2 linked regions of the Daphnia pulex genome follow. The protein of the gene in region 2 interacts with the protein of the main gene of each other region in a pairwise test. Links are inferred from orthologs where the notes say so. Each region holds a gene or a part of one and is shown on either strand. Other genes may lie near its edges.

Region 1 (5,741 bases), on a different chromosome or scaffold from region 2:
AAGACTCTCGGAATCGAATCGAGGATTTTCCGATTTTGTTGACAATTCTTACTGTGCCCGTGCCGGCCTTGTGGCCAGAATTTAATATAGACTAATCAATAGTTATTCAAATAAGATACAAGAGAAAAATGTTTTGCTTTCGATCTCATGCTTTAGGTAGCCTATCACTAGTTAAGAATGGTTTTTCAATTAACAAAGTCTATCAAAATCCAAAAGGTAAAAAGCTTAAAATCATTCATTTTTTAACGCTTTTTGATGGATAAAATAAATTTTATGTTCGTAGTTTTCTTGAGAATGTCGAGTGCTTCTACATCCAGTTCTTCACCCCAAAAATGGGAACTTCTTGGTGCAATTTGTCTGGAAAGAACACCAATCATTGTGCCTCCCATGACCGAAATTGAACAACAAATTAGTGAAATGATTGAGAAGTTTGATAATATGAGAAGCCTCAAATCAAATCATGAACTAAGACATGAAGAAGACAAGTAATAATTTCAAATACCATCAAAGATTTTAATTTTAATATGAATAATTTCTTAATTGTAGGAAGCTACAAAAAATGGCTGCAGATGGAACTCAAGATGAAAGTAACCCAGATGCAGCAACAAGGCAAACAGCTCAAGACTTTGAAGATGCTTGCAATGAAGAATTTCAAAAATTTAAGCCTGCCCCAAGGACTACAGGTAATAATATAAATAATAAAGTTGACTAACAAGTAATTCATTGACCTACTGTAAACTAGCTGAAGATTTGAGTGGAGACCAGAAGTCCACCAATCGAAAGCTGGATAAGCATTTGCTTTTTGTTGTGCAAGAAAAAGACAAGAAAGTTTGGAAGCTTCCGGAAAGTAGGTGGAGGGAAGGGGAGACCTTACGTGAGACCGCAGAACGTGCACTTAGAGAATACGTGAAAACTCCTGATACGTCAGTGCGAGTATTGGGCAATGCTCCGTGGGGAGTACATACTATCAAATATCCGTCGTCAGTTCGCCAAAAGCTTGGTTTTACCGGTTCAAAAGTTTTCTTCTTCAAAGCCCAATTGCTTTCTTCTTGCACTACTTGTTCAGACATAGAGTATAATTGGTTGGGCAGAGAAGAGCTTACAAACAGTCTCGAGCCCGAATACTTACGTAGCGTAAGAAAATTTCTCATCGATGAAGATTAATTCATTAAACATAGTATTTGTTTAGATGCATCTTTAAATACACAAATTTTTTTCCTCTTACACATTCTACTATTACGAAACAATGAACGCAACAGGTAAGAGTTTTAAATCTGACGGAGAAGAAGACTAAAACATTGGTTTGCACATTATATTTTCATCAATCAAGATACTGTTCGATGTACAAGTATAGCATGGTCTCAAGCTAGTTCATAAGAGTGAGAGTTATGAAGAGGTTATCGATATAGGTAGAAAATCGAAATTCACTTTAAAATGTCGACAAAAAAGGGAAAAGAGCCAATAAGATAAGAAGAAGCAACAGAAATGACGGGCAAACTTAATAGCCCAGTAATTGTTGTCGACGTTATGGATAAGTTAACTTATCTTTCCGCAATCAAAACCACACAAATTGCTCCAACATGACTATTCGACCAAAGCCACATCTAATGGCAATCCCGAAAGCTGTGTGCTTGAGGGGAAATACAGTCGAAAATCGAGGTTAGAACAACATAAACGGAAAAAAACTGAAAAGAAAGCAATTTTACAAACTGCTTTCAATGAGAAATGAGATGCAATCCTGTCAATCCTAGCTGTTCATCACTTTTACTGTTTTGTTATCAAAGTTAGTAATGTGTTTAGGTTCGAAGTCGGCAAAAATAACTTGAGTCTTAAGAACGGACGCACCACTTTAATACAAAAAGAAAAAAAAAATGAAGAAAAATTTATGAAGAAAAGAAAAGGAGCAAAAGAAAACGAACGAACAGTGCCTTCGCCTTTTAAGTATGATACGGGGCAACGTAAGTGGCAGGAAAGAGGCCGCGGCGGGCGCCAATTTCTCCAGTCCACCAATGTTGATCAGAACGGTCTGTCACAGTTATGACGTCGCCTCGCTTAAATTCCAATTCACCTGGTTCTTGCGGGGTGAAATCGTATAGTGCCTGCACCAAGAACTGTCGAAAATTCACACAACAATTGTTAGTCAATCCTGAGCCTAAAGGCATGGAAAAAAGAACAACTGGTAACTCACCTCTTCAGGCACCATGTCTCGTAACTTTATATCCTGAGACCGAGAAACAGATGTGGAGCGATGGTAGTCGACCAGTTCGTTGAGCGAGTTGAATTTTACCACCCACAAAAAGAACTTCCCTTGGGCATCGCGAAGTACTTTGAAGTGCTGGACACCATCGCCACATCTGCGAGACAAGAAAGAAAAAATAGAGAATAGCCTATTAACACAGAATGCACGTAACAAAGTATTGTGTAAATTTCAAACTAATTTCGAACTACAAGGAAGTAGGATGATGGCTTCCTTAGCTATAAACAAAACACACTCATCCTACAACTTAACGGGCAAAAACCTCAAGAAGGAATAAATAACACAGCAGGGCGATGAGAGAATTGTAAAAACTAAAAATGATGCAAAACTCCGGTTCAAGGCACATATATAGTTGCTTGATTACGGACGGTGGCTCAGTGGTAAGGGAACTTGACGAAAAGGCCTAACAGATAGAAAACAGAATGTACCCTAGACACGCCTAACAAGGCTAATAAAATACCAAAAAGGATAAAACTAATTACTGAAAACAGTAGGACTGACGGTTCATGAATCACGAGTCACGACTTAAGCAAAGGGTAGTCACTGCACGAGTTCCAATTTTACAAGCTGTCTTTGTTTTTTTAAGGTAAAACAAAATAGACAATTGAGATTCATTCCACCTTTGAAGTGAATAAAATTGGAATGTAAACGGATGTGTGCGTCATCAGGTTGACTCATGCACTGCATTTGGAAAGAATTCTTGCGTGATCAAATCAAATTTCTACAGAAAACCAAATACCCATGATTCTTTGAGGGAAATAGAAATAAACTGTACGTTCGGTTCATTAATTTTCTATTCAAACGCGTCTTCCTAGTAAGGTAGAACTTGTATCGTACAGTTTGGAGAGCGAGATTATAAGATATTTGATTTTACACTGATGAAAGCCTGCATGTTTGAAATTCTTTTCACGCTTCAAATGTACGTGTAGCGTCTAATCAGGATATCTGAATGCAAAGCGATATTTCTCAATATGTTTTTATAATGTGCTATTTCTACATAAATATTTTGAGAAATCTTCCCGTTTTAGGCAGTTAACGACTTACAAGCTTAGTTAATAGATGTCAACTTATCTCATTCAGATGTTCTAATGATAAGTAGTCTGGTATGCCACAAATAGATTTCAACAACATTTGAGAATAGGCAAATAATAACATCAAACATAGTAGAAGAATTCCTATGGGGCATTTCTAAACTATCTAGAGCTCTTGGTTAAGGATTTACACTGTCTATGTTTCTAAACAAAATCTATCACATTGTTATTTTAAGAACTAGATAACATACTTAACAGACAGGGAAAAGTCTCCCGGTGAGCTCTCACTGACTCTAACAACAAAAGCGCCTTCATGTTTGTTGCCCAAGAGTTTCTCTGCATCAGCTCTGGTTATTCTTCCATAGTACCAACTGTAGAAAATAAAACAACAAGTTATAATCAATATGCATTATTTTATCATAAACATTTCAACTAGGCTTACTCATGATTTTTCATTTCAATGTAGTTACTAGGAATCAACCCTTCTTTTCCATCCAATTCTGCTCTATACCAATTCAGATCATCTTCCATATTCAGAATCTACATTTGAATCAAATGAACAGGTTAGAATATTGCTATAAGCAAAAATTCCTTAAATTCTGTTGAAAGCATCATTGCTTGGTTTACCTTGAGAACTTGCCCTTTTCGAAAACTAAGCTCATCTTCAGCAGTGGCATTAAAGTCATGTTTAGAATTGGCCTCCATCTCGAAAATAACACGTTTTATGAAATCACAGATGATAAAGTATTTCTTGGCAAAACAAGCTTCAGAGAAGGAATTTCCTTTTCAAGGCTAGGCCGGATGTGCACCACGGCTACGTTTATCAAGTGAAACGGTTGTTGGCCAATCACCAAAATGTTTTGACTTCGTTCAAAGTCGAATTACACTTCTCGAAACTCAAAAACGAATAGCATTTCCCACAAATTGTTTGACAATATTGACTATCAACTGACGTATCCGTATCCACGATTGTTTGATTAACTATACACTGTTTTCGGGGCCCGACGAAAGCCAGACAGCCATAATTTTGGGAAACAACTTAGTTCTTGGCTTTGACGCACGAGCGTCACCAGTCCTTTTCTCCCAATGGAATTTTAAAGGTAAATGCTTGCGTGCCTGTAAACGTTTTTTATTTTTTCTAACTATTTTTTTTCCAAATGACTGAAATTATTTAAAATATTATTTCAATTACAGGAATATACATTTTTTATAATACAACATAATAGATGAATATTTTAAGATTTTAAATATTTAAATTTCCGTCGAATTCTTTTGGAAAAAGCAATGTGGCAACGTTATCTGCCTCATTTGAATAAATGCAAATGGTTTTCAAAAGGAATCTCGACCCAGAGATTCAGACCAGTCCGGACTTGAATTTAGAAAAGCAACGTGCAGTTCCTTTTGACTAATTTTATCGACCAAACCCTCTTACAATCTTATACAATTATTGTCAGATGATTTTCTCTTATATTGCACTGTGATTATTACAAAAATGAAGATAACTTTATATTTAGTGGCCATAATTCTCCTAGGAACTGGTAGTCATTCTAGTTTAGTAGGTTGGATTTTAGGCAGAGACAGCTCCCCTTTTAACATTTTGAGTAGTGAAAAACAATTTGATAAGCTTATGGCTGTAGCAAAAGAAGATGATAAGATTGAAGTTTCTGAACCTGATGAGAGTGCTGTGCAAGCAAGGTCTGATATTCCATTTGAGCTGTCTGTAGCTGATGAAAAATTCATTGCCGATGCACAGAAATATACTGACCTTAGTCTGAGCGAGCTGGATGTTTGCCAGCATAAAGTAAGTAAAGTACTTTGATGTTGATTCAAAGTACAATCTCACTGTTCATTAATATTAATGAACTCGTTTATAGTTAATCCTTCAATTGAAGCAAGACTGCAATGATCTCTCAGAGGAAGATTTGTCTAAGTTGGGTGTGAATCTTTTAAACTGCCAATCAAGATTGGAAGGGCGGAGAGTCTACCCATGCTCCTCTTCAATGGCAAGTTTTCTAATTAATGTATCACTTCAGCTAGTTGTAGCTAACCAGTTTATATTTTTTAGACTTTAAGGGAATGTACTTCTGACATGGATTCCGACACCTGGAATGCCTACCATATTCTATCCAATAGAGCAAGATCAGTGTGCTACGGTGCCCGCCAACAACAGTTTAGAGCACTGACTCAAATGACAGTCAACAAACTCATGGCCAGTTCTAGTCAACAATTGGGATTCATTAGAGAGCTCAAGGTTGGTTTCTTTATTGATTTTCATCACAACTGTATTGTATCTTTTTTTTTCCTCACAGGCTGAGCAAGAGGAACTTGGATCTTTGGCTGCTGATACTTTAACTTCTTTGACCAAAGGTCAAGAAAAGTTGCTGGAACAACAAGACTTTCTGAAAGCTACCCAGCAGTTGGCTTCTCAACAGATAAGCAGCACAATGAGAGAA
Region 2 (11,026 bases):
ATCCTGCCCCTTTTCAACTGGTTTTCCTCCATTTTTCCTATTCACAGGAAGTCGAGATTTCATTTTTATAATAATTTCTGGACAAAAATTCCATTCAGCTCAAAAAATCCAACAAAATGCCAAAAAGGAAGGAATTGAATTAAAGTCGGGGGGAGAAAGTGACGCACCACCGGCCATTTTTAAATGCCAGTTCCGGCAGCGTGAACTCCCGACACCTCCGCACAAACTTGCACAGATTCTTTTTATTTTCTTATTTTTTTTCCGGTTGTCGCGCCCACCACTCGGCCACACGTTGAAAGAAAATCGAGGGACAAGATCGAGTACGTCAGCAAACGAGCGGACGACATCCGTGACTAATGTCGCATCCATCTTGTCTATAACTGACTACTGTGTAACTTTTAATACATAGATTGAGGTGATGTCCATCCCGCTGGATCTATTTCGCAATTATTTCATCAAGTTATTTCAAATCTTTTCCAAAAAAATAAGGCCAACCCATACAACCGTGTGTGTATAATAAATACCGTTAGATGCTGATGCCATAAAAATAAAATAGCCCCTCAAAAAGTCACGTTGAAAAAAGAAGAAGAGATAAGCCGGAGCGACTGAGAAATGAACTCCAGATGGCGATAGTGACATTCAGGTCAACTTGTGAATGGGTTCTCTGTGTGGGTTTAACCGCAAGCATCACAGCATCGAAAAAATAAAATCACATCGACTTTGAAAAAAGAGAAAAAACATCGTCAGCTGATTAGCTCCGATTGATATTTTATACAGACGCATATTTGAAATCGTTATACAACGCTCGTATCAATTTAATAACAAGGATGTATACAAATAGCGTACATGACAAATGAGAGGTATTGAATATAAGCTTTGGCTACATCAAATGAAATGATTTTTCCATGAAATTCTGGCGTAGCTCTATGCTGCCGCCATTGACAATTCGAATTGATCAACCGAGTTACAAAGAAGAGCAAGAATTCCCCACAAAACAAACTGTTTTAATTTATAAAAAGGTGTAGTACAACAACAACCATTTCTATCGAGTGATTTAGATAGGTAAATCCGTAAAAAGAATGGTATGCGCCGACAGCTTGATGGAAAAAAAACATTCGTAACAGAATTCCCAACGGTACAAATGAAATCGAGTCTAACCGGTCCCGATGGCCGCACTAAATACAGACGATGGGATAGCAGCTCTTGTAGAGCTCTGGTTTTTAACATTGATTGTTAGCATGTATACGTAGGTATGCTGAGAAACTTAACACGGACATGCGATGCACGTCTCGAAAAACTATTCGGGGGAAAACTGAAGCCGCGCCAGCCGGTGTCAAATAAAAGCGGCGCGTCACAGTAATACCGACACATTATTACGTAAGCCATATGCGCAGCCGGGGAAAAAAAAAGATGTAAACACACAGCACACAACATGGAACATAATAATTTGTTTTGGACGATTCCTATTGGGTATAGAACGTGAAACCGAATTGGGTTCAATCCCGCGGGAGTTATGACAGCGCGTGCCTCAAGCCACGTGATGTGTAATTCAATCTAAAAAGTCGAGACGTTGGAATGAAATTCCATTCATTTAGTTTTGTAGAATTGAATGTTTCAACTTTGGCAACGTGATGGCGCTGCTGCCAGTAGCTGCTCGATTCCCGAAGGTTTGTATGGCGCTGAATTGAATTCAAACGAGACTTTTGCACATTGTTGAGGTTTTTAAAATTAAACAAGTTTTTTTTTTTAATTTGATTTTTTACCCGCAGATTAAGTTGTGAGGTATAAAACAAGCCTGATACCGTGCAGTCGCTCTGCAAATGAGTTGTTTAATTAACCCTGATTGATACAACAGAAACAGCAAGAGAAAACAGTTCCAGTCAAATGGCCTAGCTCAGGAATAATCGTATTCCGTAACGTTATATAACCATAACGCCACCAAATAGATAAAAAGGAAGAACAGGATTACATTGTTTCTACCTTAAAACCGAGGAAATCCACAGCCAGGCAACCACAAGTGCTCCATCCTCAGTCAAGTCACGGTTGACGCCAGTCAGGATAGGATAAGGGGGTCATCGTGAGTATACACTCACCTTCACATGGGTGTACACGAGGACAGAGTTTTCCCAATTAAACTAGGAGCTGTTTATCTAATCAAAAAATACAAAACAGGTTACGAAAAAAATATTGCAGAGACAACAACTTGGGAAAAGTTAGAAAGAAGACAGTGGTTATCCCCTTACTGTTAATAAACACGATTGCTTAAGGTTTACATGTAATACCTGGCAGTACCTTTTTATGCAAGTTTTAGGCACCATTTATATACAGCAGGTAACAGGTTAATAAAAGCAACAAAAATCTTTACCCAATTAATGATGCTGAGATTGTTGGTGATGACGGGTCAGTGTCAAAACTTGCAAATCTTGTAGTTACGATGGCTGGCTCAGTACTGAAATCTACACAAAGGTAAAGGTTATACATGGAGCAAACAAACTCTGTCATGCATCGACAACAAGCATTATTACATGATAGATGCTAGTCACTGTAGTTGGGCACCAACATTTCACAAATTTGGAAAAGGTTGAACTCTTCTAATGAGCTTCCAAAATCATTCCATTCGTATTTCGTATTCTAGTTTTATTTACCTGAGAAACAGCATGGAGTGGAGAGCATGGCCACGAGTCACGACACCAAATAAGTTTGCACGACGACCACATTTTATTTTGTTCTGCAATTTCTCTTGCAGCCACGTACACGTTTCCATCAAACCAGTGATCCCTTCAGTTTTCTATGATAAAAAATGTCTGAACCTTCGTCTCTTTTAGCTTTTTCGAAACTGCGAAACAAAAGGAAAGCAGACGACACAAATATTCTAATTAACCACGCTTAAGAAGTTAAGATATCGATATTAAAAATCCGCCCTCCGCGCCTCCCACTTCCCGCCAAAATCAAAGAAAATCAACCCCTTCCCTAAAACCAAACCGCATGGACAAATCGGGATATATATTTCACATCAAATTGTTCTTCTCGATAAGTTACATCAAGCCCACCCTGGACGGACAAGATCCGAGTAAAAATTTGCACGAAACCCGCCCTAATAACGAGCTCCAGGGTGGCTCGTTGGAACGGAGAGAAATCATCGCCTGGAAGCGGAAAAATTGCGCAGAGTTTGGTGTTTTCTTGATCTGAAGAATTTGTTTTGATGGCAATGAACAACGTCTGATTATATACCCCCACCAGCTATTTTATGTCTGTGTATTTGCATACGTCATTAGGATGCATTGGCGGAGGCTCTTCTTCCAACCGCAATTTGCCCGTCTTTATCGAAACCCGTCAAGCGCGGGAATTTTCAAAAAATTTGATTGACGCCAATAACCTCGTCTCGTGGAGATTGTACACAGACACGGGGAAATATACTGAAAAAAAGAGAAACAAAATTGCTGCAATATCTCTCTCTCTATCCATGTAGCGTGTGTTGACTCAACTGTTATGTGCTGCTGCGTGAGTGTCGTGTTTGACGAGTTGAACCAATATTGGAAACATTTCATTTCTATTTCTCACATTTGATTATTTCGGTGCTGAACATTTCCTTCTGCTGCCAAAATGAAAAATTCTAAAAACACGCTGGAATATAGTATAGACCCAAGTCGGACACAAATCCCTTGCTAACATGTGACTGTTCCAGCGGATCCTATAGGAGGTTGGCACAACTGCAGACGGGGTACAGGAGAAGACGAAAAAAAGATGGTGGAGGTCATCCAGTTACAAAGAGAAAAGCAGCGCACACGCATTTTGTCGTACTAGGTCTGACGTTATATATATTTAGACCGAGACGACGACGTGGACGACGTGCTGGCAGTGTTATGTCTGTCTGTAACCTACACACGCACCAGCGGTTTCTGTTTTCCCGCCGATCAATCGCCGCACCCCCTCGGTGAAAGCTGACGAACGAATTAAATATCCCAGACGGGATTCATACACAGATGCCGGTGAGCCGATCATGCGCGCAATGCGACACCTTCATCTTGTATACTTGCGGTGAAGGTTAACTGAAATAGAAAAATGAATTAAAGTGAGAAAAAAAAAAGAACTGTATTTACAGATAATCTCTCAAAGTGTTGGGGAAAACGTACGTACAAGAATAAAAGACGAAGCGTGATTCTTCTTTTCTTTTTCAAAAGAAATCCAAATGCAAAAGACAAAAGAGAGAGAAAGAAAAAACAAACAAAATTACAAGTAATAATCATCATCAAAAGAATTGTTTTTTTAAAGAATGAATATGCTGTTCTGCCCCACATTTTCGATTGTCATTAAATTGCCCTTTTCTTTTTGCTGTAATCGCGAGAATCGCCGCCCTTGAAACAAGTGAACATCAATTTAAAAAAAAAATAGATTAACGGGAAAGGAATAACACTCCAACAATCCTGTTGGTAATTTTTTGTTTGTTTTTGCGTTAAACAAAAAAAACTTTTATATATTGTAAGGAGAAAAGCTTCGGGCAAGTTTTTTTGAATTTGTTGTCGAAGTATTGGCCAAAATGATTATTTTTATATATATATATATGTATATATATATATACACATACACGTGCATAAAAAAGGGAATGGCTCGAGTCCATCTGTCAAAGGAAAAATGGGGAGGAGTCAAATGTGGGTGGGGAGGGGGTTGACGAAAAAACACATGGCCGACAAGGCTTGTATATGTGTGTGCCATCATCTTTGATTGTCTTTTTTACACAACGGAAATAATCTCACAGAATTGTTTTTAATCTCTCTCCGTGGGGGTGCGCGCGCGTATGTGTGTCAAATATGATTTTGTGCCGAGTGCGTGTGTTCCCTACTTTTTGTTTTCTTCTTTTCTTCTGAAAAGAATTGAGTCATTGTCTTGGATGTTTCTCGAGACATTTGAACGATCCAAAAAAGGTGGCGGTGGTTCGAGAGTGCCTATTGCGCCTTTTTGGAGCGACGCTCCTCGACGGTGAGACGTGTTCGGTTGAAAGCTTCCGTTTTGATGAAGTCGACAGTCTTGTAGACAGTCGACGAAGCCTGGTGGTGATTTTGGTGATGGTGACCCCGTTCGGGACTTTTGGGCGATTGGAGAGACGAGTCAGACTCCAAATCCAAGTCCAAATACTGGATATCGTCCAGCTGACGGCCAGCGCTAATGACCCTCGAGCCCTGAATGAAATAGTAGATCTGTAGGGGAGACACAAATGAGAAAAAAAAGGAAAGAAACCGCGGACACCACCCAAGGTTAGTTTTAGTTGGTCAGCAAAGCGAGTTAATTCATTAATTTTTTAAAAAAGGAGGAAAATGTTTTACCTGCTCCTCGTCATGGGCGGAATTGGGTCGGGTACTGCCCCGACTCGATGGATCGTCAGCATCGTCTGAACTGCTTCCGTGGAAATCGGCGTGTTGTCCGACACCAGAAACGGGACCTGAGAAGAGAGAGAAAATAAAAGATTGGCATCGTTAACAACACCCCAAAAAATCGATAGACCTCAAACGAGACCACTTACGATTGGGTTTCAACTGGCGGTTGACTGAGGGCGGTGGAAGGGGTCCATCAACGACGCCGGCCGCACCAGAGGATTGCGTCTTGGGCTTGAGTGTTCGGTTGACTGAAGGCGGAGAAAAGGGGGTCATGGGAAGGAGTGCTGGACTCGCCAAAGGGAAGGGGCTGGCCAGATTCGAATAAACGCTGGGCGACATGGCCGAAGCGGCAGACAACCCGGCCGTGACGGCGTTGTTGTTGAACGTGAAAATCTCAGCCGCTGCAGCCACAGCCGATGACGACAATTCGCCAGGTGCAGCGTTCGAGTAACAGTGCCGTCTCTGGGCATCCTTGCCCGTCTTGCCGTCGTTGCCGTGGTCACCCTGGTGCGATCGCGGGAAATCGTACCTTAAAATTTCCCCAAAAAATGAAACAATCAATTAACCAAGGTCTGCGCTTCATTTACTAATCGTTGAATAATTACCAGGAATCGGCGTTGGTCGGCGTAGGTAAAGGAGGCGATGTCGACGATGGAGAGCGTGGGCTACTGCTGCGACTGTGCGATCTGCCACCAGGAGCGACGGAAGTTGGCGATTGCAGCTGTTCCAGATTCAGATAATTGTGCGAAGGCTGGTCGATTAAATGAGGTGGTTTGGGCGGGCGAGGCGGCGGCACAAACTTCTGACTGCCCATCAATTGGGGAACTGATGGTCGTTTGCTGGCGCCAGTGGCCGGTTGCAGTCTCTTAAAAGAGTGCGCAAACTTGTCCTCAAAGCTACGAATTTGCTCGTGAACTCCTTGGTCGTTGCGCGCCGACGAACTGACGGGCTGCAGTTGCTGCGATTGACCCAATTGTGAGTGGCCGGGCGACGACAACTGTCTGGGCTGGTCGCAGAAAATGTCCCAGCCCTCGCGCTGAGGCCGGCCGCGTAAACTTTGAGTTCCGAGAGCTAAGCCTCGCGCTGTCGGCGCTGGAGTCACGGGCGCCGACGACGGCTGGCCCACCGATCCCATAGCTTCTTGAAAGACGAGACTGCGCGATCCTGAAAGGCATTCGCTCAACGGGAAATAAGGGCCCGAACTGCCGGTCGGCGAAGTGGGCGAGGTGGGTGGCGTGTCTTCCAACAACTGGCTCACTTGCAAAGTCCTCGCCATGGCCGAATGGACTCCGCTGGTGGCCATTGTCGATGACGCGTTAGGGACGGGCCGTGTCAGAGTCACAGACGAACCGGTCTCTTCATCTTCGCGATAAAACACCTTGAGACCGCAGACGTGACAGATGCAACCCACCCAGCTATTCATGTCTGATTCACTGTCGGCCGCCAAAAAGTAGACGCGCTTCGGTGTGCGGATGTCAAACATGTGGGCATACCGCTGCTTCCTACTTTCAATCGTCAGCCCGGAATCCACCTGTTACAAGAAAAAACATAATTTTAAAAATTATGTTGAACAAATTAAATTAAAAAGTCAATTCACCTGTTCGCATTGGTCCAAATCGATTTTGCCCTTTAATTTTCGACATGTTCGATCCGTGTAATATTCAAGGAAATATTGTCCAGGCAACTCGCCAGAATGTTTCAACACGAACCATCTTCTCCGCCATTTCTGTGTCACCAAAAGAAGAAGAAAAAAAAGGGATAAGAAATTGATGGGCCAGGCACACAAGACATTTTTGTATAATAATAGAAGGGTCTCCTCGCATGGGGGTTGTCGTAGAGTGAGAACGAGATCGGCAAACATTCTCATAATAAAAAAAGAAAGGGGGGAGAGGAGAAGAAATTCGATCATATCTAAGTTGAACGAAGAGGGGAGGGGAATGCCATCAACAGATCCGATTACAAAGAGTCGGTCATAGGTCAGAGAAGCGCGCATCTACCAAAACCGTGGGAACAACATCCTCCTCTCTTCCACAGATATCGAGATGATGAAAACAAAACACAAAATATATAGATCGAATAAATTTCGTTGCAGCGTTCACCACAGAAACCGGGAAAAAAAAACTCGCCCGATTGGTGGCAGCCCACAAAGTGTCACAAACAACCATGCACCATTTTGATAACAAAACAGCTCCTGCATAATTTATTTTTGGAGGAATTTTTTATCTCGGGGGGGAAATGCTAAAAAGCAGTTATCTAAGTTTATGAATCTCCAGATAAAGCTTGAGGTAAACTCTGAAAAATGTGATGGCAAGTCTTATCTTGATGTTGAGCAACCAATACAGCCCAACGCTTAAAAAAACACAGAGAATTCCAAGATTTATCAGGGACCGAGTACATGCCATGGTAATGCTGGGATCAGCTAAATTTCTACTCTCCACACATAACACAAATGGGATAATAAAGGATAATTTGGCATCTATGATTTGAGAAACAAAGAGATAAATAATAATGGGAAAATGATTGGAAAAGAAATGCTTCATCGTGACCCACTAACAGAGAGAATGGCCAACAGAAGCTTGATAATAGTATTTACTATTTAGCACTCTGAACCATGGAGTTTTATCAAGGTAAAAAGAGCAACTGTTCAATAATGAGTAACCTGTTTTAATTAAAATTGAATCAAATTACACTTACAGCTCTCCATATTCGTTTGGTGGGCGGAGACTTGACAAGCCAGCCTTCATGAACGATTTCCGTGTTGGCCAAAGCCATGGTGCCTTGTAGAACTGAGCGAAACAAAACTATACAAAACAATTGCACTTAATATTTAAGGCGTCGATTCTATTGACAAGACGACGACCATCCAATCGACGGAAAACGGGTAACAACAAAGGGGAAAAAGAACTTTTTACGACATTTTTCCAGCTCAAATTCCACAGCCAAGTTGGAGAAACACAAGTGAGCTGGGATGGATGGGATGACTAACATGACGCTGCCAGATCTCAAATACCTGACGTCTATTCTCTCTTTACAGCGTCCAAAGTTTTCCATTTTTCCTTATCTACTTTTGTATGCACAACACGATAGAATTTTGTTAAACCAATCAGTTTTTCATATCAAAATAGTTTTACTAAACGCTTTGAGAAAATGCTAATGCATTTTTATTTGTTATTTGGGGAGCGTTTTCGACTTTTCCTCCGTAGGCGTTGATAGGAGGAAAAAGTTTGAATACGCGTCGCTAGGTGGCCTAACCTATTCAAAATTAATTTGCATTTTGAAAAATTCATTGGTCAGCGACTCAACACGCTCGACGGGAATGGTCGATTTTCTATTGTTGATTTACAAATATCGATTAGAACATGATTATGGAACTGGATAGGATAGATCCTGTATTTAAGTTTGCGTTCCATTTAATCTAAGCAACACTTGTGCGCGAATACCTGTTTTCTCTAAAGCCATACAACCAAAGTTTAAAAAAAAAGAAATTTATTCGGAAAAAAGAAAAAGAAGGTAACATGCTACTGTCAAAAAATAAAAGTATAGTTGTTATTATAGTGGCGTGCACCTAAAAGTCTATGCGTGTTCTTACCACATTCACGCTCGGTCCGCCCCGCAGGTTCGATAACAAACGCGCGCGCAACGCCACACGCGATATTTGTTTTCAACTTCACGAACGATTTTTTTTTTCCTTATCTGCATCACCTATAGCACTGGGTGGTGATGAAGAATTCATGTCAAGTGGCGACTCAGCAAGTGTATCCTACACCTTATTGGCTGCCGCTTCAGTTAACAGAAGGGAGACCAGCAGAGACGAAATACCTCAGGAGGGCAGGTCGATCGATTCAGGATCAGCTGATCGCGGCTGTCAGTCGGACAGGGAAATTTCGTCTGGATCTCACAGTTTCTTTGTCGATATGTTTGGCTTGTGCGTTTTATTTAATTCTTGATGTTTGGCTTTTTAAAATCGGATTAGTTTTAAATGGGTACGATTGCCTCAGTCTTGCAATGGAAATGTGTGATATGCCTACAAGTTAATCCAACTGAAAAGAGCTGTTGCTTCAATTGCGGGGCAAAACGATCTTGTACAATAGAAAAAGAAGAAGACCGTCCAATGTGTTCACCAGTCAACTTTGAGGAAAACAATCGGTCCTCGAAAAATCATTCACAACTTAAACATTCTGTCTCCTACTCTAGTTCTTCATCAGGTATTTAACGTTTTAATAATTTATCATCTGCTGGGTGGGAATCTCTGTTATTCCATTATTACTTGTGTATTCTTAGCAAAATGGACTTGCCCTCACTGCTTATTTCTGAATGTGGCAAGGTTAGTTTGAACAATCATCAATCAATTTCTTTTTGTTAGAACCTATTAATAGACAAGATATACCAACTTTTTATAGTGCTCAAGATTGCATGACTTGCATGACCAGCAAACCTAAAGGAATTTCAGCTAGTCAAGAGCAAAATCAAACTCTTCAACAGCCAAACAACAATAGCTCAACATGGTCTTGCAAACGCTGCACATTTTCAAATCTTATTGATCTCCACTGCTGTGAGGTTTGTGAAGCACCTCGCTCTCCCAATATCCCCTTAACATTACCACGAAAACCCATTATAGTTAAATATGGAACATCAGGATTGGACTCAGACAACAAGTATGTATTGTATTTTTAAACTCTATAGTGTTATGAGCAATAGCATAACTTTTTTACTTGAAACTAACAAAAGGGAATTGTTTGTGCCTGACAGCCATTCCAAAGAGGCAGCCGTGAATGGTAGGAAGAACGGTACGGTGGTCGTTAATCATCAGTACGACGCGAGCTGGACATGCAAAAAATGCACTTTAATCAATCCAATCGGGGAAAATGTTTGCTCTGCGTGTAGCTGCTCACAACTGTACAGCGAGAAGAAAGTAGAAAGTCAAGGCTCTGCTCATAGTCCCACGAAAAAAGACACCTGGTCATGTCCTCAGTGCACGTTGCTTAACTCACACTCGATTTCCAAATGCAGAGCATGTAAAACCGCTATGACTCCGCAGTCCCAGACAAAGGTACGTAGATATTGCAATTGTATATAGTTTTCATCTTATTATCCTTAATATTTTGTAGCGTTTCTTATTTTCTGAAATTTATCGATTATCGTTTAACTTAATTTTATAACAGGTTGGAACACCGACCATCGGCAGCAGCCCGATTCCTTCTTCGCCAGCGAGAAACATTCCGTCATCAAAGCGTACTCCCGATTCTGCGATGGGAGGATGGCAATGTTCTGCTTGTACATTTCACAACAAAAAGTCTAAATCGTACAGCTGTGAAATATGCCAATCCAGTCGAAGTCTGACAGCTCTTTCGCCACCTGCTCCGGCCGCCATCTCGCGCCATGAAAGTGAGCCGTCCGCTTCTCTCCGCCACACGGAAGAGGAACAAGCGCGTCTCAAATGGAAGCGTATTGTTGGCTTTTGTCGAACCAGTGGCGATAAATTTGTCGACGATTCATTTCTACCTACTGGACGCTCTTTGCACAACAGCACTCAAGAAGGGGTTCAATGGCTCCGACCCAGTCAAATAGTTAGCAGCGCTGCTTCCCATGTCAAGTAAGAAAATGGAATGTTCAAATTCATACCAATCACGTTCGCTCATCACAATTCATTTACA

The links.
Region 1: the proteins of protein daughter of sevenless-like (region 2) and growth factor receptor-bound protein 2 interact in binary tests that used the Drosophila melanogaster proteins (3 or more experiments, as listed by UniProt). The link is inferred for Daphnia pulex from reciprocal best matches to the Drosophila melanogaster genes dos and drk.

What each region holds. Positions count from the first base shown.
Region 1 is NC_060028.1:9,113,636-9,119,376, forward strand, and holds growth factor receptor-bound protein 2, read right to left. Parts: upstream 4,390-5,741; 5' UTR 3,994-4,389; coding exon 3,916-3,993; intron 3,829-3,915; coding exon 3,731-3,828; intron 3,660-3,730; coding exon 3,540-3,659; intron 2,355-3,539; coding exon 2,189-2,354; intron 2,112-2,188; coding exon 1,938-2,111; 3' UTR 1,299-1,937; downstream 1-1,298. Other genes in the region: 39S ribosomal protein L46, mitochondrial-like, read left to right, coding at 129-216, 284-485, 547-683, 743-1,164; protein brambleberry-like, read left to right, coding at 4,781-5,089, 5,163-5,291, 5,354-5,539, 5,598-5,741.
Region 2 is NC_060019.1:10,842,062-10,853,087, reverse strand, and holds protein daughter of sevenless-like, read right to left. Parts: upstream 8,475-11,026; 5' UTR 8,145-8,474; coding exon 8,067-8,144; intron 7,099-8,066; coding exon 6,970-7,098; intron 6,904-6,969; coding exon 5,978-6,903; intron 5,902-5,977; coding exon 5,519-5,901; intron 5,438-5,518; coding exon 5,322-5,437; intron 5,196-5,321; coding exon 4,944-5,195; 3' UTR 4,068-4,943; downstream 1-4,067. Other genes in the region: calpain-D-like, read left to right, coding at 9,352-9,577, 9,654-9,696, 9,773-10,027, 10,101-10,422, 10,535-10,965. UniProt on the Drosophila melanogaster protein: Essential component for signaling from various receptor tyrosine kinases such as Sevenless, TORSO and DER. Required for photoreceptor cell and wing development.